2 linked regions of the Caenorhabditis elegans genome follow. The main gene of each other region encodes a partner of the protein of the gene in region 2 in a complex. Each region holds a gene or a part of one and is shown on either strand. Other genes may lie near its edges. The genes, in order: unc-84 and unc-83.

Region 1 (12,525 bases), on a different chromosome or scaffold from region 2:
CTGGATAGGTGCTCTCTCCAGCTGGCCCATCTGGTCCTGGAGTTCCGGCGGCTCCGTCGTTTCCTGCAGGCCCTGCAGGTCCTGATGGTCCTGGTGGTCCTGGTGGGGATGGTGCGGCTGGTGAACCGGCTTCTCCGTCTGGTCCTGCTGGTCCAGCTGGTCCGTCTGGTCCTGGTGGTCCTGGTGGTCCTGCTGGGCATGGCTTGCATGGCGGTGGAGTCTTGGCTTCGCATGGAACAGCTGCTCCTTTTCCTGGTGCACCCGGGTTTCCTGGTGCTCCTGGCTTTCCTGGTTTTCCAGGCTTTCCAGGGTTACCAGCAACTCCTGGTGGACCTGGATTGCAGCATCCTTCACATTGACCGCCGCTTGAAGCACCAGCACCAGCGTCGGCTCCTCCTCCCGAAGTGTATCCAGCCTGTCTTGCAGTTCTGTTCACTGTGATTTCGTGAACCTCATTGTTGATTTCGGCCCACATATCTTGCACAGAAGTCTGAAAAGGTTTAATATAAAATGTTTAGTTAAAGAGACCGTCGATTCACCTTGCAGTACAAAGAATCTTTTTTAAGTTGAGTCTTCGTGTTTTGCACATAAGAGAATATGAGCGGAAGAACCAAGCATAGTGAAACAGCAGCGGTGATTGAAAATCCGACAGCTGAGTACGCAATAAGACGATAAGCTTTTAGACGAAGATCAGTTGGACACTCCATTATATTTTTAGAGCCACAGCACCCCAATTGAATGATTTATTATTAATTCGCAAGGCTTTTATACTATTCACTGTCTTATGAATTTCTTAATTGAATGCTAGCAAACTGGTAGTTCGATCAAGATAAATAGATGGTTTGAATAGATTCGGTTTATTTAGAGAATAGTTACACCTTATGAATCAGATTGAATAAATAATGCCAATAGATTGTGAATCAGTATTATACTTTATGAATTTATTCTTAAAATTTCAAACGGACGACATTTTTTATAAATATGAGAAAACACATTTCTAGCGCTGAACAGTGCCATCTTCGAAAAATACTCCTCCATCCATGGCACAATACTTTGGACAAACACCCTTTTCTCCATGTCTTCTTGATCCACCACTTTGCCCTGGAACTCCAGGATTACCGTCGCTTCCTGGTCTTCCTGGTGGTCCTGGTGGTCCTGGCAGTCCTGGCGGGCCAAAGCCATTTGCTCCATTTTGTGCATCCAAGCCTGGTGGCCCCATTAGTCCAGGAGGACCCATTGGGCCTGGTGCAGCAAACCCGACGATTCCGCCCAGCACCGATTGTCCAGGACTTCCTGGTTGCCCTGCCAAACCGTGGTTACCAGGCTGCCCGGGCGGTCCTGGTGGTCCTAGAGGTCCTGGTAGTACGTTTGACATTGACTGACCTGGTGGCCCCATTCCACCGGGCAGGCCGGGCTGTCCGTTCAGACCTGGAGGGCCTGGGGGTCCCTGTGGACATTGTTGACACTGTGATTGAGTTCTAGGTTGGCAAGGCGATGCGCCTAGTCCGGGCATTCCTGGCATCCCGTGACCACCTGGTCTTCCTGGTCGACCTGGTTTTCCTGGGTGGCCAGATGGACCGGGAGGACCTGGATTGCAGCATCCCATGCAGGTTCCTCCTTCTGACGCAACAACAATTCCGCTGCGTGGTGGGCTTCTCCAACCATTATTCTTCTTTTTCTGGGATCTATACCCAGTATTATAGCCGCGGGGTTTAATATTGCTTCCTCTTCCAACAGCGTAACCAGTGTTACCTTCACCTCTAGTAACAGTGTAAGCTTCGCGAATTGTTCGATTGTGGACGATGTCGACATCTTCGGTCATATCAAACCAGATTTCGTTTATAGACTTCTGAAAATATTATACTCTTAATTGCCGCAAACTTCTATGTAAAATGACAATTATGTTTTGCTAGGAAGAACTTCAATTACTAAAATGTTCAGGTATACACTACTAAAAACTATTTCAGCACAAAACATTACTAATGCTTAGTTTATCACTCACCTTGCAATATGCTCCTTCTCTGCTAATAGTCATCATTCCATTTTGTGCATGCTCGTAAATCAACGGTAGTGTTACACAAAGAAACGCTGTAGCTATTACTGAGCTTCCAACGACAGAGTACGCCACAAATTTGAAAATTCGTAATTTTAAATCTACACAGGACTCCATGAAAATTGAAGAAAATACAATGTTAACGCTCTCGCATGGTTTAGTATATATAGCCCGAGGAATACAAAAGAAATGATCAATGAATGTGTTAGGCGGTATACTCAATTAATGTCGTTTGCTGCGAATCCATCGGTTACGGTTTGTTATGCCAATCTAACACTTATTCACTCTTCCACATAATGGGTTTTAGTTCAGTTTTACAAGAACAAAAGATATTGAAATAATTTATGAAAATCGATAAAGTATTTTGAGATCAGGGGGTAAAGGCTGCAGAGAAATAGAGAGTGATTGGTTTTGCATTCAAATATATTCAGGCCAAGTATTCAGGAGACCGGTAAACTGCATGAAAATGTAATGATATTCTATACTTTGAAAAAAAATGGACACGCGCTAAAAATATAACAAGGGAACTGGAAAAATTTGGGAAAATGAATTGTGATTTGAAAAATTGGCAGGAGAGGGGTGAAATTGAAACATTTCGGAATCAGATCAATGGAAATTGAAAATTTGACCATAAAAACAAGATTAACAAAATAAATTAAACTTGAACAACTTTTCCATGAACACGAAGGCGGTAGAGACATGTGAACGGAGCTCCGTAATTGCTTGTCACCTCGAGCTCCACAAACTTGACAGGAAAATCGGGTTTGTGCTGAAAATGTTAATTCGATAATAGCCACACACTTGTCAAGAATTAATCATTCGGACTTACCTTGGCAAGGAAGAATTGAAGTGGCGGGCCATCAAGATCATAAGTGTAGTCGCCAATCAAAACTCTCGAGTTCAGGTCGTCAATCTGCTTGTAAGCCCAAACGAGGACTCCCTTTGGAGCACTCGACCGGTTCCCTTCTGGAGCAACTTCTGATCCAATGTGCTCATAGCTGATGCTAGAAACATCAATGAAATGAGACAGCTCGACAGCAATGTAGCCACGGGATTCTTTGAAGCACCAGCATTCCCCAGGAAACAGGGATTTGGAATTTCTCTGAAAATGAAAAGATAATAGGCTTGGAGTCAGAGGATCCTAAAGCGCTCACCTGAATGACAACTCTTGGAGAGTAATGGAAATAGTAGATTGGGATATCCCAAAACTTTTCCAGCCTTGTGTAGCTTTTGTACGTCTCCGAGCATCTTGTTGACACAACAGCTCCACCTGAGCTCTCCAGGGCATAGTCAACTTTCCCAGTTTTATCCGTGTCATACTCGTAGATCATTTGACGGATGATAGCTTCCAAATGATTCTTATCATATTGAATGTTGGTGTTTTCCATTTTCAGTTGCTCAATAATTGTGTTGTAGTTTTGCTCAAACTTTGCGCTAAGCTCTTGCTGGAATTGGGCGGACAACTCGGCGCGAAGCTAAAAATAACAAAAATCTTTATTATGTACATATGTACAAAACATCAATCATTCAATAATTGATTAGTTAGTTACCTTCTCCGTTACCTCCTTAATGATAGCATCTTTGTCAACAGTCTCAACAACGTTAGTCTGATGGATAATTACTGGGGCCGGAGTTGGCGCTGGGACTGGGATAGGTTTAGGTGCGGGGGCGGGAATTATCACTAGTTCTTCGTCCTCCACATCGGTGACTTTTCTCAGTGGCTCTTCAACAATACGCTCCACATCCGGAGTTGGGGTAATAGCTTGTGGAATTGGAATCACTTGAACAACATCTTCTGGAGCATATTGGCTGATGCGAATCCAAGCACGAGTGCACAAACTGAATGGGTAGGCAATGAGGAAGAGAATCCAGTTAATTACAGTTTTGAGCACGGAAACCACGGAGTTGTACACTTTTCCAAAGACTGCCGCTACCTCATTGAAGAAATACATGTAGTTATCACCAGCAAAGTTGAACACTCCAGCGATTGGTGCATAAATGAAGTTATCTGAAGAAAAAACACCATTTAAGTTTATAGTTTGAAAATTGTAGCACTTACAAAAAATGTTAGTGATTCCGGTGCCAAATGACTTGAGAAGAGAAAGAATGGAGTTTTGGGAAGAAGTAGAAAAGTTTAAGAGACCGGCAAAGATAGTTGAGAAAAAGTTGTAAACAGCATTTGAAGCATTGTAGATGAAGCTCTTTGTATGGCCAACTGTAAAAAAAGCGATTTTCTTTGGTTTTTTGTAGTGTCTTTCTTGTTGTAAATACAAATAGTGAAAACAGATAATATCATTTTTTTACGTGTAAATGGTACTTGCTGGTACTACAAAAGTTTTTTGATGTTTCAAAAAAAATTAAATAAAACGTGAATGGTATTTTAGGCTTAGGATTCTACTCAATTAATAACTCAAAAAGTTAATAAGTTCTAAGCCTGAAAAATAAAATAATACTAGCATGTTGCTCAACACTTTTATTTCCATTTTATTTCATTCGTTACAAACATTTTGGAATTCAGTTTTCTATTTCACAAATACCAAGTAAATTACTGTTCTGAAAAATAAAAGCTAATACTCATGTCCCATTGATAAGATGTTGAAAATTACTAAAGATTTCCAGCATAATGGATTGATCGAATTTTAATTTTTTAAAGTTTTACCACATTTTGACTGCATACAATTTGTATTTTCCTTACCAATTGCTGTGCATCCGTTGTACAAGGTCTCGTAGCAACCGTTGAAAAAGGTTCCGATAGACTTGTTTGCTGACAAGAACCCATCTGAGCCATAGTAAAATAGCTTTCCAGCACAAAAATCGATGAATCGAAAACTCGATGAGAGCACAGATTTTAAGCCATTTCCAACAGCGCCACATCCGCTTGCAATCAGGTCCCAAGCATAACGTGGAGTAGTGCCAAGTCTACCAATCGTCGACTTTCCATAGTTGTACGTGTCAAATGCTGGAATTTAAAGATGTTGTTTTCTACACTGAACAGAAAAATGAGATTTATAACATACCAATATCTACAACAAATTCCTTCACCATCCATGTGTAATGTTTAACGTGATTTGCAGCTGAAATCCAGATTGGCACAGCTGGGAGGGATCCTTCCGACTTCTTAGATGCATTCTTATCTTTGGTAATTTCTTTAACTCTTATTGCTGTGTTGTCAGATGTCAGGAATCCAAGGAGAAAGATGGCGAAGAGAAGAGCCAGAAGTAGACCGAGAATTTGACACCACGAGAACTTTGATGATTTCTTATCGGTAAGACCAGCAAATAGTCCTCCAAAATAGGAAACTGTCTCAACAATTCCTCCTTTGAACATTGCAAATACCACTTGATGCGCTTCAACGATTGTTGCTACGAATGAGCTCAAGAAATCGGCAATTCGAATTCTCCAAGAAACACCAACAGCATCATGAACATCTGATGAACTTGGTGCCGGTTCGTTGATATCTCTGTATAAATAACATGAAAAAAATTGAACTCGGTCATCATAAATTTAAAATGTTCATACCTGACATGAATAGTCTCCATTGGCGCTTGCTGATAATTGGTCAGCTTCATGTAGGCACTCTTTCCATAATCGTAGAACGTATACCATACATGTCGTGCCGCAAAGAACGGGAACAATATCAAGTAACCTAGCCAAGTGAATGCAGTTTTAATCTTATTTCCTGTCGCTTCTTCGTATTGATAATTGTAAGTTTCTTGTGGGAACAAAGGCGTGGAAGTTGCAGCAGCATGACCAATGTCAAAAGTTGGTTCAGGAGTATTCAGATGACTCAGTCCTCGGCTTCGAAGTCCATATGTGGAGAGTGGTGTGTCGATTTCGAGTTCCGGAGTATCGAGTGCTCGAGTTATAGCTTCACGAGTGGCACGGGTTTGGCGGAATCTTGGGGTAACTGAGCGTTGCTTCACTGTTCTAGTAGTCACAACAGTCGGGGTTATATTTTCGGACGTTCCTTCTCCGAATGGAGAGCTCGAGAACACCTTGGCAGTGATTCTGGTAATTGTACTAGTCTTCACAAAGGCTGGAGCTGCTCGGCGTGCTGGTGATTTCGATAATCCATCAAACTTGCGGCTTCTTTCCAATGTTTGAGATCTTGTCGTCATTCTGCTAGCTCTCTCATTTTCCAATTGATCCTTGATCGAACGGTACTGGTACTGTTCCACGCCATTGTTACTTCTTGTGAGCATTCTGTAAGGAGTAAGCACGACGTAGACAAGGATCTCAAAGAATCGACGAATAGAACGAGCAGCCTTAGTGGAGAATGGCTCTTGCCGGTTGCGAATGAGAGCTGTACGGCGACGATGATCTTGGTAGGCGTAGTAACGAGTTTTCGCTGAAAAAAAATTTTTTTTTTAATTCTAACATTTTGCAGAAAAACAACTTACCGAGTTTCACCAAATACAACAGGTAGTCCCAGATGGTGAAGCTAGTGATCTTGATGACGTGGTAGAAAGCTTCCAAAATGTAGGTGATGACGTGAAGAACAAGGTAGACGGGGAAACGGAGGATATAGAGAAGCTGTCTGCTGAGACTGGCCGCTGACCAGTGCTCCTGCTCAGAGAGTGATCCTGAAGTAGTACCACCAAGGTTTGGCACTTCCCAGTGGTCCGGCAAGGATGGATCGTAGATTTTGCTGTATGCGTATGTGTAGTTGGTTGCGTATGGTCTGAAAAAGAAATTATGAAAATTTTATTACATTAGGAATATAAGTTCAACATTTGAAAATGCCAGGAAAAGTTAATCTTCTATTATAGGTTTCGTTTCGCCTTGGTTTTCTAATTTTTATACAAGACTTGTAAACACTACATATTTAAAATTAAACAACCAACATTCACACAGACTTAAAACTCAAAAAGAAACGGAACCACCAAGAGCTCACTGGTAAGTGACCTTTATTCTTCTTCTTCCCGCTCAGATTCCTTCGCCTTAACCCACCCTTGTAACCCGATACTTTCTGGTGTTCTACTTTTCCTCTTTTCCACCTCACTGCTCAGAACAACACAGCTTTTACATATTTGTCAAAGGCTTCTAGGGCGTCAAGTACAAGCAAACTGAGTTCCAAAATACACAAACAAAACGTGGCCTAGCAGGTGCGCGTGAAACCTCGGCCGTATGTGGCGCGAAATTTGAATGAGAAAAAGGGGGAGGGGGGTAACATACAAGTCGCCTGTCAAAGCATCCAGCTCTTCTTCGGTAAGACGTGGCGATCTGGCGTTTCGAACTGGTGGAGTCAGGAGAAGCTTCCGGCGAACTTTTGCAAAAATGTTTGGAGAATTGCGTCCAGAGCGTGTGGATGCGAATTCCGATTTCCATTCATGGGTGTCGAAGTTGTTGTCGGCTTCCGTTGCGGGAGCCATAGTACCTGCAAAACACAATTTTAAGGAAGATATTAAAGATATTAAAGAGCGGTGAAAAAAGAAGTATTGAAGTGAGAATAAAAAAGTAACAAAACTTGCAAGCATCGAGTCTCTGTCTTTGTTTGATTTTGAACTACGCATGATTCATCGCACCAAAATCTGTGCGCTTTACAGAACGAGCAAACACTTTTATGAAGACAAAAGGGCTTGAGAAGGAAGAAGACTGGGAGACGTTCGTGTTTCTCACGATTATAATCACCTGTTGGTTTTGATGGGCTGAGAAAAGAATATATAATACTGCCTGATTTTATTATGAAATTTAAGAGAAAAAAACTGGCAAAAAAAACAAAACATATCACATCACAACAAATTAAATACGCAACTTTTCGAAACATCGCAAGGCAGAAAAAATTCAAACCAATGTTGTTTGTGTGCTCACCCCGTCGGGCCCTCCGTCTCTTCACCTTGCACACTATACTCGAATCGATATTGTTTGTGTGAGTGTTTTTCTGGGCGAAAGGAGGAGAAAGGGAGGGCACACACATACACGCAACAGTGAGCGTCGATTTAATGGTTTCGGTCGGTCACCCCAGTCTCCAATCGCCATCACCCCCGCCGAATGGTGCAGGTGGTGGACAGCAGATAGGGGGAGAGGGGGTGAGGCAGTGTGTTTTTTGTAGAGAGTAGTTGTCTGGCGTACGGTGACAAGCGATGGAACCGAGTGAGGGAGTGTGAGATGGGAAGAGAGAACACCAGAGAAGAACATGCATCTACGTGTTGCCCTCTAAACACGTAAACAGGCCGAAGGAATTAGGCATCATTGCAATGGGCAACAAATCGGTGAGAAGTACTGTGAAAGAATCGGAAGTGTGTCTCGCCTTACCACGTAACCTTGAGGCTAATTTACAAGCCCAATTGAAAAGTGTTGTAACGATTAGACACAGTCAAGAGCAGATACGGAGAAGTTACTAGTTTTCAATAAACGTTTGTAGAAGAACATGAAATACATATCAGTACGTCAGATATAGGCTATCAGTAAAATAAACCCTCAACCAAAAACACAAGCACAATCTGCGTGTCCACAATGTTTTCCGCTTTAAGTACTGAACTATGTCTGTTTTTTTTATAAAGCACAACTTCCAGATCAGTTACTTCGGCCTGCGTGGAAGGTTTGAATGATTTTAAATTCTCAAATCAATCGCATGGCTCTGATCTCTGGTGTTGTTTTTGTTGACTTTTTCTACAATTTTTGAACAGTGATCTATTGGATTCACATGGTTATGAAACTAACAAAAACTACGGTGTTTATTTACTATAGCAAAACTTTTTTCTAATTTTAACTTTTAAAAATTGAAATCAGGTTCTTCTAGAATATTGAAAATGCCGCTTTTCAAACTGAAATCAATTTTTTGAGTTTTTGAAATCAATTTTTTGAGTTTTTGAAGCCTACTGCCAACTTTTTGAAAAACTAATTCAAAAGTTTTCCAGAAGATTTTCAATTTTTAAATTTTTTTGTTGTATTTTCATGTCTATTCACAGAGTGAAAAATATTAAAAAAATATATAAAAACCAAATTTATCAAGAACTAATCAGATTTCCCATTCTCAAATTTCCAAACATCTTGATCGAATTAATCGGGATTTTGATGGGTAATCAAGTGTTAAATATGTTTTAAAGAGGGAGTAGTTTAAATGGGGAAAACATCAAAGCTTATAATGCAGTGCATACTGAGGAATTAAAAGAGAAACTGAACATTTTTTTGAAAAATGAGAGAATATGCTTGAAAATTTATTATAATTTTAAGTAGACGCTCAAGTTTTTCATTTTCTAGATTGATTTTTTTAATACAAAACTTTCTGTTTGTTAAAAAAAAACAAGTTTATATAACAGTCAGTGCGCGCGAAATTCAAATTTCATCCACTTCAACTATGTTTGTCGCTTTAGAGTAAAAAATTATCGGTGTGAACTTTTCTCACTCTTTTTCTCAATAACGTCCTTTTGACTTGCTTCGTTTTCAAAAATAAAACACAATATTTTTTATGGAGAAAGTTTGAAAAAAAAAAGAAATTGAGCGAATAGGAAAAGTGAAAAACGTTTCTGCAAATAAAGCTAATCCAAGAGAGCAATGAGCAAACATTGACGTTCAAACGTGAGGAAAAAACGAAATAAAGAACAATTTTCAGAGCTCAGCATCTTCCATTTCTGCTTCTTTAATGTCGGCTTCAATTTCTTGTTGTCGCTTCCATTGGTCAATTTTATCTGGAAAAGCACAATTTGATTTACTTTCAACATTCATATTTGCACTTACAAGTGTGAGCACAACAGAAATCCATTCCACATCTAGAATGCACACACGAATACGGTTTTTGACATTTGACTCCGCCCATTGCGTCACAAGTCTGTGGGGTATCATCTGCCTTTCTCATCACATTCCAACCTCCGGGACAGTAATCCTCTACAAACATCGAATTTGTTTGATGGATTAGAATACAAATGGCAACTAACCTGCTTTACATACACTATCCACTAGATTAACCAAGAATGCCAGAAAAATGAGACAGATGATGATGATTCTCATATTGAAGTGAAGTGACCCGGTGAATGGGATGAATAAGGAAAACTGTGAAGGAAGAAGAGGAACAGTCGAGATTGCTATCTGGCACGCAAAAATGAGGTCGCTCTAGATTTTAAAGTTCCAGTTAAGATCTAGCTGGGAGAATATGAATTGAAAATATTAGGGGGCAAGATTCCAAAATTTGAAGATATTGTAACACTTCCTGATCACATGCAAAATTTCCGTTCAGAAACGTTGCAAGCGTTCAATTTTTTGCAATGTTAAGTTCACGACGTTATGAGCAAACACAGTAAAGAAGGAAGATAAAATTACAAAATATGGGGGTCAGGATAGCACAGTCGGTAGTGGTGGCCGCTAGCAATCTGGAGGTCACGAGTTCAAGTCCAGCCTTACCCCCAATGTTCACCAGCCTCTAGTGGGAAGTGAAGCAATCCACGACTGGATTATCGGCTACATTCCCCGGCTAGGACATGGCTTTAACCATAGCACAGTGGGAGCACCGCCAGGCAGTGTACCTGACTCCGTGCACAGCACTTGAAGAACGGATCGTCCTTTAATCCTTTATAATCCTTTAAATGATTTCTTTTGATTATCAAAAAAGTTTAAAGAACGCTTGAATTTTTTGTACACAACAAAGTTGTCGCTGATTGGTTTAATGTGATTTATTGAAAAGCATTTGTTCGACATATTAATCTGATCAATTTAAAAACTTAGTAAATCTTCTTCACTACAACAAATTCTTAAACAGCTCAGCTATCAGGACAAATGACAATACATTCAATAAAACTACTTTCAAGGGGGCAGTCTGAGTTGTTGTCTGAACGGATACTTGAGTGATGGGTAGGCCTATAGTAGTGGACAACGTTGATCCAGTGTTAGAGGAATAAATTGTTGTAGAGTTCGTGACTGGTGGTGTGAATGGTACAGGCGTAATAAAGGTTGTGGCTGGAGCAGAAGTTACGGGCGGTGTCGTAGTTGTAGCTGTCGTGGTCAAGATATTAGCTTTTGTTGTAGTGATGGTTGTAGTGCTTGTTAAAGTTTTTGTTGTAGAGCTAGTCATGGTGCTCAAAATAGGTTGCGTAGTTGTTCCAGATGCCGCAGTAATTTCATAGTAAAGTGTGATGTAACCCCTCATTGTAAAATTTGCAGAAGTTGTCAAATAGTTTCCAATCGATGTCACACTACTGTTCAATGCTGGTGGGTATCTGTAAATACCATAATATTGTAGATAACTGCAATCTTGATGGTACTCACGTCAAATTCACTTGATTATTGTACCCTGGTCCCGAACCAATGCACAAATTAAGGAAGTTAACTCCAGTGAAATTCATATTATCTATATTCACATTGAAATTGTACAATTGACTATCGTCTCGAATTTCATATTGGAAAGTCGCCGAATCCCATACAGTCTCCCATAATGACACCGACGAAATTAGTCCAGTACGTCCTACTCTTGGTTGTTTCCATGCAGAATATTCATCACCACTGTATAGCTCAATAGTGAATAAAGATTTATACATCAGCAAAGTGAATTTGTTAGTTGGTATAATTTGAGGTAGCTGATTTGGATTGAAAGAAGTTGCGCTGAAAATATAGGTAATGCTAATCTAGTAGTGTTATATTTTTATACACAATTCACACATTTTCTCAAAATGAATTGGTAGCATATAATTAAATTTATAATTATTGATTATTCAAAAAATGATTCTAAATATTAATTACAGTAAGTTGCAAACGTTGAAAATGCCATAATTTCTATCAAAGACAATGATGAAAATTAGGTTTTCAAAAAAAAAACCAAAAAAAACTCTCACTTATAATTGATGACCTTTGCCATATAAATCTGAGAAGGAGTATTCCCTTGAAAAGCAATATATCCATTCGGTGATGTTAGCATTGTGTCAAAAACTAGCTGATTAATATAAAAATTGGTACAATCTGGACACGCAAATGTCACTGCTCCTCCACCATCGGTTACATCAAACAAAACTTTAGATGTAAAATTGTTTGGTGGAGTTATGAAAAATTGATAACTGCTTGTAATTTCTAAAAAGAAAACGGTTCTAGGATATTACAAACAAATAGAAATTTACCAGGCCCATCGTTTGCAATGATATAGGCATCAGATTTAAAGTCATCATAAAAATTCACAATTGTTATCCAATTTGCATAATACATCCTTCCATTATCGTAAAACTGTGTCCCATTTATCAAATCTGCAAGAGTTCCACTTGCTGGATACTGCATCACATCAGTTCCAATATAAAGCATATACCGATCGAGATTTTTGAGTGATTCCGCAGCAGTGTTAGCAGCCAGAGTCAAGGCAAGCTGAATTGTGAGCATTTTATTTATTATTCATTACCATGAAAAAAAAGAATACAAAGCTATTCAAAACCTTTCTCAACATATGAACACATACCTTGGATCCATAAAAGATCAAGTATTGAGCCGGAGGAATTTGAGAAACCTGGAAGTAGTCTCCACTGTACCTCATGAGAGGGAAATATGACTTCACTGAA
Region 2 (10,083 bases):
CTACGGTCATTTGGGAAGTAACTCCAAAAAGATATTATCTAGTGTCTCTTGGCACACCCTCTCTAAAGAAATGGTAGCTAATATTATGCAACACGGCGATAAGGTCTGTTAGTATAGGAATTGCACCACTAGAGACACCCGAATATATAATACGAGTGGGCCCAAAAAATAAGGTCAGCCGGATCTCTCGAATGATACAAGCATTTCCCAGGTTTTGTTTGACGGGTGTGATTTCTAATCACATTATACCTATATGTGCCGATTGGCATACAAATCGAGAAAAGCGACGGGATAAGGGGAGGGCTGTCGGATTTGAAAGTTATGTTTATTTATGGGTATAACGTATACATATACAAACTTGTTCAGGTTTTGAGTTGGAGAGCTAGATTCAGAATTTGAACGATGAAAACCTAAAAACTAAATCAAAGCTCTATTATTCTCATTGTCAAAAAACCGATACAATGAAAGAAACAGTGTATGTGTGCCCTCCTGCTACAAAAGTGCACATGTGTTGTCAGAGACGGAGCTATTAACCCTTGGACCGGTGCAATGTCCCGCGCACCGGGTGGTATGTGTGTGTGTGCGGGGGGCTCCAGATGTGCAGAATCTCATCATACCACGATAAAAACTCATTCATTCTCCCACTACGATGACGGGCAAACTAGTAGTGGTGACCCAAAATTAATGAAGGAGGTGGTGGTTGTTCAAGCAAGCGGAAAATAAAAAGAAGTGGTCAGCTTTCCGGCTCAATATTGGAAATGTGGTAGTAACAAATATGTGTTTATTATTTAGTGGTTACTATGTGGTTACTATTTAAAAATTGTAGAAAATTCTTCAAAACGTGATGTCGAGAATACAAATTCTGCCTGGAACATTAGTTATGAACATACCAAGGAAAGGGAACACTATTTGCATAAACTGATAAGGTTATAAGACAATTATAATAATGTTTCCATTGGAACTGAGTTGTGCAAGTAGGTAGGTAACTGTAGGGTCTGGTAGAAAAATGCCGAAATTGGAAAATTGCTAAAACAAAAACTTTCACCAACGACGCTGCGAACAGAAGAAACAACCTGGAGAATGAGTCATTTCAGTGAAACAATGCTTCTTTTCTCCACTGGGTTCAGTTTCAATGGATATGATGCATATTGTCAGCTCTCTGTCAAACAGACCAACGGACTGCGTCGTTTTGCTAATGAATACATAATGTGACATATTTCCAAAATACACTTCCAAACGAAAAGCAACGGAATTGAAGAAAGGTGATGGTGGTGGTGGTGGAAGTCGGATCAGAAGATGGATGGCGGTAAGTGGTTCGATCGGCCCTGTTGATAAAGAGCACACCAGCTCATTATTTTTATTACACACCCCCATGGAAACGTCCGATCAAAACTCATTAATTTAGATTAGGAGATGAGGAAGGAGGAGAAGAAGAAGGCACTTTGTGATGACAGGCAATGTGAAAGCTTTTGAGTAAGATCGGAATGTAATCAGAGTAAATGTGCAACAATATCAAAACATGTGGCGGTTGTAAAATCGAGGAAGACTTTTGCCAAAACGCGAAAACATAATGCCATAAAAATAAGAAGTAACAGAAGGATGGCTGAGAACCAGAGACAAAGACAGAAACCCAGCAATGGAAACTAGAGGTTTCCTCGAAAATTTTCTAATTTTTCATGAAATAGTTTTTGCCCTAATGCTCTAACCTAGAACGAAGAGTACAGTGAGTCTAAGCCCCCCTTCGAGTGGACGAATAAGACGAGTATCGGGTGCGTGAAGTGTACCGCTGGTGCTCCTGTCGCTAAGCATGCTCAACGACAACTCGGGTGCCCGATGGTGGTATAACTAACAATCCGCAAACATGAGATGACTCCGTGTCTTTTCTCCTTATTCTTCTTCCGTTACTGTTCTCGTATTCTTCACGCATGTTCGCGCCCCTATATCTTGTTATTGTTCAATGCGGAACGAATTTTGGAACTAAAGATGGAAGGCTTTAAGTTTGAGAAGAATTTCATTATGTTTTGCTTCAAAAAATTTGATATTTAAGGCAAATGAATTTTACAAAATCAGTTAAAAAAACATTGAAAAAGTTTTGAAAAAAACATAAAAGTGCGCCTCGTTCTAAAATTTGAAAATATCCAGATTCTGATATCTTTTTCTGAGAATTTGGAAACAATTTTTCAAAAACAACATTATAAGTTCACTAAAGAAGTTAAGTGATCTGAAAAAAATTAGCATCTCAGTTATCTAAAAGCGAAAAATAAAGAGCAAAATGTGCCAACCCACTTAAAAGGAAACAAATGATCTGCTCAATCTGTGTCTGTCTGAACGGGATTATGTTACTCCCCAAAAGAAAAGGAGGACGTTCGAATAAGAAAACGAGAGTAACACATCCCAAGTAAGCAAACACTGCCTCAATCGGAACACGTCCATTGGGGATTTGCTGTGGACAGCATTTTTGACAAGAAATTTGCAGCATTTTTGGATTCAGAAAGTTGACATGAGTTTTTCGGGTTACCACTAGATATTTGAAAAATTCAGTTGTACTTTTTTGGAGTGATGAAAATAAAAAGTAATTGGTAATCTTCTAATTACAACCTGATCCCCTATTGTGTCAAAATTTATCATTGAAAAGTTTAAAATTTCTAACAATAACTTCAACTCAATTCCCATCTATCTCTTGGTTCTCAACAATCTCCAATTTCATTCGGAACGGCAAAACTGCGCACACTATTGGGGGCCACTTTTCTGTGGTTCGGGGGGCGAGATGTTATTCGATACTATTTGGTATAATAATTTAGGAAAGCTAATTGAATCGAAATGTGTGGCATTTTCTCAGGAGTCAGTGGCAGATAAAATGAAGGATCTTCATCAAAATGTTTAGTAGTAGAGGTTGCACAATCAACCAACTACATTTGATTAATGGGTGACCTTCCAAACAAACGGCAATTGCCACAAAAATTGGGTGAGTATATTGAATGAGTGTGGGAGGATAAGAAGCACAGAGAGATGAGTTGCAGTGGTCATTTGTTATCTCATTGAAAAAGAGCAAACGATTTGAGGATACTTTCTTTTTAAAAATTTTAATCATCGGATATTGAGAAGTACAACTTTATACCTTCAAAAATTGGTTTTTTTTTGTTGTTTACTCTATGATTAACCGCTTAAATTTAGATGTAGTTCATGGAGTGAACAAAACTTACTAGTTAGAGCAAGAATAAGTTAGCTATGTTTTTGTGAATGGGAAGGGTTTATTTTAATTTATCATTCCTAGATCAACAAGTCTTGAAACTTCAACCAGAAATTAATTCTGGTAAACTTTATGTAAAAACTGTATTTGGAAGATTCAAAAATTCCCTAAAGCACAGGCAAAAGGCTTGTCAAGTGAATGTTTTCAGTTATCCATCACCACATCTGCCGTAATATTTTCGTACCAGGCTTGTGTTCAATTGACAGGCTCGTAACGTTTCTCTTTTTGATAATTGATGACCCCTTAAACTATTGCTATCTCTTGCTCAATCAAATGGACAACTGCCTCAAGTTTGCAAAACTTGATCTTGATATCAGAGGGCTAAGCAAAAAACTTTGTTCAAAGAAAAACTAGAAGAAAATCGAGAAAAACAGGAGGTTCTTTTGAGGCCAGCTACACCTAATTACTCTCCCAGTTTCACTTGATCCATGGCAACCAAACGACACAAGCAATAAAACAAATAAGACTTACTTTTGAGGTGAGGTTGTGCAACGAGTCGAGGATTAAATTGTAGAGCGAGGAGCAGTTCTCCAAAAAGATATCCACTTCCTCAGCCGACGATTCGATGACCTGGAAATTAAATTATTGATCATTAAAATGGGCAAAGTAACAGCTGGAAAGATATCTAGGAGATATTTTTAACGATGGTTGTACACGCGCAATTCGATCTTGTACAGCTGCGTAGTGCAATTTAATAAAACAGTTTATAATTTGATACAAATAAAAAACCAAAAAAGGTGAAACAAGATTTTCAAAAAAATGTAATTTGTTATTTTCATTATTTAAAATTGTCAAAATTATTCTGAAAAATTAAAATATGCGCCCATTTTTCTAAATGACCCTCACAAACGATTTAACGACAATCAATGGCCACCCGCTCTACCAAAAAGAAGTGCTTTGCTTTCAGTGTGACTGTAAAATTGGTAATTCCGAGTCAATTTACGATTTCTCGACCTTCCGGGCGGCCCACTTTGCAATAAAACGAAGAGTAAACCTGACGTTAATCGATTCAATTGCCAAAATTGAGAGGATCAAGGAACATGGCACAGGAATCGTTGTGTAGGAACAACCAAGTTTGGAGAAATGCACTCGAACTTGCAAGTTGCTCTTCACTGCCGAGATGCGCACCTCGAGAAACACTTATGGTATTGGGCACTCGGAATCATTCTCTTCTTACTAACAGCTTTTGCCAAACAAAGTTACTAGTAGTCGCGCTCTGGGAATGTGTGTGAATGGCGTGAGGATTCAATGGTCCGCATATTGTTTTTGGAAACAAAAAGAGAAATATGGGGTAAGTCAACAAAAAAAGGTGTCCATGAATGTGTTGACTTTGCGGTACCTTAACAAGGAAATCTGGGAAATACCTATACTTACTAATAATACAATGAAATATTTTACAAGGAACCTAAGGTGTCAGTCAATTATTTCTCATGCGAATCTTTTAAATATTAAAAAGTATCGCATTTTAAAGGTTTTACACATCATTTAGCGGACCAATTTTGATAACTTTTATGTTTTTCCTGAAAAATGGCTCTCAAAATTATGTGCAAAATCTCTGAAGATCAATATAATTATGTTGTCTGAACTTGATTCTGCGCTTTTTTGCTAATAAATGTACTTAGCACATAGAAATAATTAATATTTTTTAATGATAAATTTTCGCACACTGAAATATGGGAATGTCTTAAAATCTCTTGAAATTTAAACTCCCGTCATCAATAGTTTTACACTTTCTCCTTCAAACTTCTTTTCAAGATAACCACAGTTTTCAATTCAATTTACTTCGTCGTCCCCCACCAGATCAAAACATTCGATAAGAAAAACTAAACGATGCGGAATTTGAATGTGCGACACTAACTCTTTCCACCTCCAGTTATAAATCTTTGAAGCACAGCGAAAAAAAACTTCAGCCGTTCGTCTTTAGTCAATCGAAAGAAAAAAAAAGATAGCGTGGAATTCGGGATTTTTTGCGCCAAAATTGAAAACTCGGCCTCTCGGGCTTTTTGACAGCTTTTTGCAAACAATTGATGGCGCAAGGGTAAATGCTCAAGCATTTTTCAAAAAGGCACTTTCAATAATCAAATAGATTTGAAAAATAAAATTATTTTCGCTCGTTTTGGTTTAGAAAAAAACTACATTCTACTTTGGTTTGAATAAAGAAATCGAACTTTTAATTTTTTTTCTCCTACTTTTAACGAAATTTTACTTTTCAAATGAATTCAATATGCAAGAAAATGCGTTGAAAATTTTAAAGTATTTTTTTTTCGTAAAATTTAAAGCTCTGCCTCACCTTCAAAAGATGGTCCTCCGATGATATATCATTGGGCATCTCGACCTCCGAGAATGAGTCCATTACGTCCATTCGTAACCTGTTTTCGGGTTACTTTCGGTGTCCAGGAATAAAAATAAAAAAATCAGAGAAGTTTGTATCCAGACGTGGGATACTGTACTGGTAGGGGTGGACGATCAATTACGCATCTGCGCAATATGATCACGGATGAGAAACGGATCTGGAAAAATTTAGTTTAGACGGAAAAATACTTAATCAAAACGAAATGAGGTGAAAATTTAAAAATAGAAAAAGTATATACAATTTTTTGTGTGTAGAACAAAATAGGAAAAATTTCGTGAAAAACAAAGAAAAAGAGATTAGTTGTTTCATTGGAGCTGAAAATAAATTTCAAGAAGAGATTTCTGTTGAGATCAAAGTCAAGAAACGGAAATTCAAGTCATATTGAGGATAGAAAATTTGCAAAATATATACTCAATTCAAAACTAGCCTAGTTTACCAAAAATCTATGAAAATTGTGTCGAGCAGTAAAACATCCTTTTAAAGATAATAAAAAATGTTTTTAATAAAAATGTAGAAACACACGAAAAACTTCATAAATGTTTTACTTATGTATAGTACGGTTTCCATAAAATTTGTTAGGCCAGTTTTTGAAAATCCAAATAAAAATCCATGGATTTCATGCCCTGGACAACAAGCCATCGCCCGCAAAAATGTTCGCAAATTAAAAGATAAACATAGAAAAGTGTGAGATGCTCGAAATCTGCCCCCCAATCCGAAGTCTCCGCCTTAATAAACAATAATACTGATGAGAGAGGAGAATCTAGAGAGTTGGGAAGAGAAGCTTGTGATGATGATGGATTATCATGTCATTCACACAGTTTTCGTTTCTTTTCGACACCTGATAAAATAATAAAAGATGATAATTATGATGGAGATATTGTTTTATGAATTTTTATGAAGATTTATGAAGATATGAAAATATGAAGAGATAGGTGTGAAAGTGATAAAAAAGAGATTGGACCAGGGAAATCAGCTGGAAGATTTTATTTTGTGTGAAAAAGTCTCGTGATTTCCAATAAAAAATATTAAGCAAAATTTATGGAAATTATCACAACGAGGTCCAAGAAATTTCCAAATTACTACAAAATAGGTTGTAGCTTTCAAAAAAAATGTAACTTGATTTAGAAAGTTCTGGAAAATATCAATTAACAAAACGTTGGAAAAAATATTTTTGAACTTGTTGAAAATTGAATTAAATTCCTTTTTTTTAAATTCAAGTTTCCACCCATTCATTTTTCAATTAAAATTGAATCTATGGAAAACTGGAAAGGAACAAATCGAAATTTTGAAAATGTTCACGAATAGATGTCCAACAGCACATGGCCCTGACACTTTTCGAATTTATTGGTTTTGTTGCAACAGGAAGTTCCCCCAATAAATGTGATAGAAACACAGTGAAACGATGGGATAATGGACCCAAGTTAATGGAGTCGGAAACGGCAGACAGCCCCGGCTCATTTATCACCAATGTGCGAAACATTGTGATACTAAAGTAGAAAAGGAACACTTTGTAGTGCCCGAATGTTTTACGAGTTTTAGAAATGATTTGAAGTACAATTTAGAAATTTCATACTTGAAATATTCTGAAGAACATTGCAAAATTTCAAAAAGAAAACATTTGTTTCTAGACTAACATCAAAATTACAACGCATTACCAAAACTGCAGAATAAACTTCGAACGTCGTGTCTAATTTGTTTCACAATTAAAACTATTTAGGCCCTTTGTCTCAAATGTTTGAGGGAATCTACGGCAAGTACTTGCATTACTATCAATTTGGTAGAATGTTGGCTCTGCATTGGTTGATAATAAAAAAGAAGAGACAACCGTTTTTATTTGATAATGCAACAAAATGTCGCCCAAACTGCGCTTCTCGTTTGCCCCCAGTGACTCATAGAGGGGTAACACTTTCAAAAACAGTTAGAAAACTTCAGCTCCTTCTCAAAATGCGTAAAGCCATTAAAAAGTTTTCAAAAGAAAATTATGCCTGAGCTGATCAGTTAATTGAAGAATTTTGAGTGTTCAAATGCCAGCAGAGAATTTCCAAAAACACTTTAAAATTTCAATATTAATTGTAAGCACATTAATAGAAATTAATTTAAATTCCAATATTTCAGAATACTTCCTTTTCTCCGAAAACCTTTCAAACAATGTCATCTTCAAAATGAACATGATGCTAATCAGTTCATTGATAATTTACTTGATACTCCTATGCCAATGGAGTCATAAAGGTTGAAAAACTCAGTCGACACGTAAACATTTACTACCACCTGATACTATCTCGATTGCTACTGTGAAAATTGGCAGGAATGCAAGAAAACAACGGGCGCCTGTAACTAAAGGCGGTCAGCACCAAGACAAAAAACGACAAAGAAATGATAATTTGTGTATGTGTGGAAGAAACGCAGACAGTTGAAGAAGTCAAAGACATGATTGAAAAAGTCAAACAGTTTGTGTTGACGACGTGGGAACCATCAGGAGACACACATTCGATTATCGAGCTGTTTTTAGTTTTCTTTTTGAAGAATGATAGTCTAGGGCAAGCGTGTGGGAGTAGAAGGGTTGAGAGGAAGACAGTGCAACATTGCTGGCTGGGTGCCAATTTTTTCAAATGTGAGAAATTGATCATGTGAATATATTTATAGAGACTGACATAGATAGACAGATGATTGAGAAGCAGAGTGATTGTGGGAACAAGATGGATCGTATTGTAATTTTGAAAGGAACACGAGGTTCTATAGAAAATTAGTAAGTAGTGTTTATTTTATTTTAATTGCATAAAAATAATTTTCTGATAGCATCACAAATGTCAAAAACATGTTTAGTTTGGCTCTAGCTAATTATCTAAGTTGAACTCAATAAATGTTAAATTGTGTCAAAAGTTGGGACTAGTTGGGCAAACGATGGGCAAGTTTTGGGAAGACTTTGGAAACATTTGGTCAAGTTTGACCCATTTTTTGTCAAACTCTTGCCAAGTTCAAAAAAATTTTGGACAAAACTTCGGCCAAAGTTGGGTTACACTTCATCATAGCCTAAACCAACTCTTCCCCAAGTTTTACCAAATTTTGTTCTAATAGTAAGCTAATATTTTTGGGCCAAGCTTGGCCAAGAAACTAGAGCCAAATGCCTATTATAACTGTGCTGTTATAAAAAAACTACCACTTTATTTATTGTCAACAAGTGCTCGAAATATTTGCAGCTCTAAAAAGCGGACCAAAAATGGAGTTGAGAGAAAATAACTTCAAGAGCCTCTAGGTTAGCAGAATCTAGACGTACTTTGTTACAGTCCAATACAACAGTACATATAATCCCCAAAAATCACCTTCCATACGCTTCATTTCTAGCGGATAAAAGAAAAATGGGAAGCTGGAATGATCTTTGTGAAGGGTGAGGCTGATGGCGGTAGTACAGATGATTCAGACAACAAACCAATGCTTCCTACACACTTTCTCCATTCCGTCTATTTTTTTTATTTCATCCAGAAGGGATTCGGATTACATTTCCGACATTGATACGAAATTACCATCATAATAATCGAATCAATGTTGAATGGGTGGTCAACATGCGGGGACAGGGAGTGGAATGCAATTCAAAAGGTGAACAGAGACATTCCAACAGGTAGATTTATAGCTCACTATAGTGCTTGGTTTAACGCTTTTTCTTGTGATGTCCCAATTTTTCGGTCAAAAATAAAAGCAGGTACACCGGTGGTCGCGGAAATACGTAAAAACTGCGACTTGATGATTGCTGCAATCACGAGCGACGAGATCGTAAAATGGACCCGTTTATGGTCACGATGACTTCTTTTATTATGTGCTGAGTTGTGACTTTTTTGGTTTTTAACTGGACTTGTACGGGAAAACATCAAAAACCGAAAAGTTATCTAATCCGAGTATGCTTATTTTCTAGTTAAAATGTTATGAATCATTGAAGAAATTTTTCAATTTTCACTACTGATGAATTTAATGCACATCCACAATACGTTATTTTAGGTTTTTTGTTATAGTAAGAATAGAAAGAAACGCACGAGAAATACCAAAAATTATTATATTTATTCAAAACGTTTGAAAAATATAAAAGCGAAAACTCAATATTTAACACTAGAGGCAATTTCAAAATTATTTTTTTTAATTAGGTATGAAAAACTTTAACAGAGAAGAGAAAACTTCCAATATTAATATTATCGTTTTGAATAAATTTTGGAATTTTTTATGTGCTTTAAGAATCTATGTGATGCAAAATATATTCTCTATTTGAATCTTTGAAAACCTAAATAATTAATTTTTTGGGGAATTTAGAGGTACAAAAAATTTGCTTTCAAAACATTATTATAGATTCATTCTTAAAATTTCACTATATCAGCAGTTGGAAAAATTTTAAAATATAGTAGACGAAACAGATCTAGAACGGAAAAAAGTGGGAACAAGTTGTAAGAGACGTCACTATTTTTATCGCCTCTCAAAGCCATTAGAACAAAAAATG

The links.
Region 1: unc-83 (region 2) and unc-84 share a complex: the UniProt entries of both Caenorhabditis elegans proteins name them as parts of the unc-83-unc-84 LINC complex.

What each region holds. Positions count from the first base shown.
Region 1 is NC_003284.9:13,579,680-13,592,204, reverse strand, and holds unc-84 (Nuclear migration and anchoring protein unc-84), read right to left. Parts: upstream 7,431-12,525; 5' UTR 7,426-7,430; coding exon 7,229-7,425; intron 6,735-7,228; coding exon 6,454-6,734; intron 6,402-6,453; coding exon 5,573-6,401; intron 5,514-5,572; coding exon 5,071-5,513; intron 5,013-5,070; coding exon 4,749-5,012; intron 4,269-4,748; coding exon 4,113-4,268; intron 4,062-4,112; coding exon 3,604-4,061; coding exon of another isoform or gene 3,592-3,603; exon of another isoform or gene 3,534-3,591; intron 3,529-3,533; coding exon 3,208-3,528; intron 3,156-3,207; coding exon 2,883-3,155; intron 2,823-2,882; coding exon 2,709-2,822; 3' UTR 2,384-2,708; downstream 1-2,383. Other genes in the region: col-44 (Nematode cuticle collagen N-terminal domain-containing protein), read right to left, coding at 1-490, 540-707; col-9 (Nematode cuticle collagen N-terminal domain-containing protein), read right to left, coding at 998-1,849, 2,003-2,170; srf-5 (WAP domain-containing protein), read right to left, coding at 9,605-9,684, 9,734-9,880, 9,931-10,003; F54B11.11 (CUB-like domain-containing protein), read right to left, coding at 10,728-11,205, 11,255-11,587, 11,818-12,049, 12,097-12,334, 12,426-12,520. UniProt on the Caenorhabditis elegans protein: Involved in nuclear migration and anchoring in hypodermal precursor cells. Most likely recruits anc-1 to the nuclear envelope where anc-1 functions to tether the nucleus to the actin cytoskeleton.
Region 2 is NC_003283.11:6,460,742-6,470,824, reverse strand, and holds the start of unc-83 (Nuclear migration protein unc-83), read right to left. Parts: upstream 5,761-10,083; 5' UTR 5,613-5,760; coding exon 5,541-5,612; intron 5,392-5,540; exon of another isoform or gene 5,192-5,391; intron 4,439-5,191; exon of another isoform or gene 4,258-4,438; intron 3,821-4,257; coding exon 3,722-3,820; intron 2,861-3,721; exon of another isoform or gene 2,652-2,860; intron 2,516-2,651; exon of another isoform or gene 2,376-2,515; intron 2,233-2,375; exon of another isoform or gene 2,093-2,232; intron 1,882-2,092; exon of another isoform or gene 1,733-1,881; intron 1-1,732. UniProt on the Caenorhabditis elegans protein: Cargo-specific adapter that is involved in nuclear migration during development and thereafter.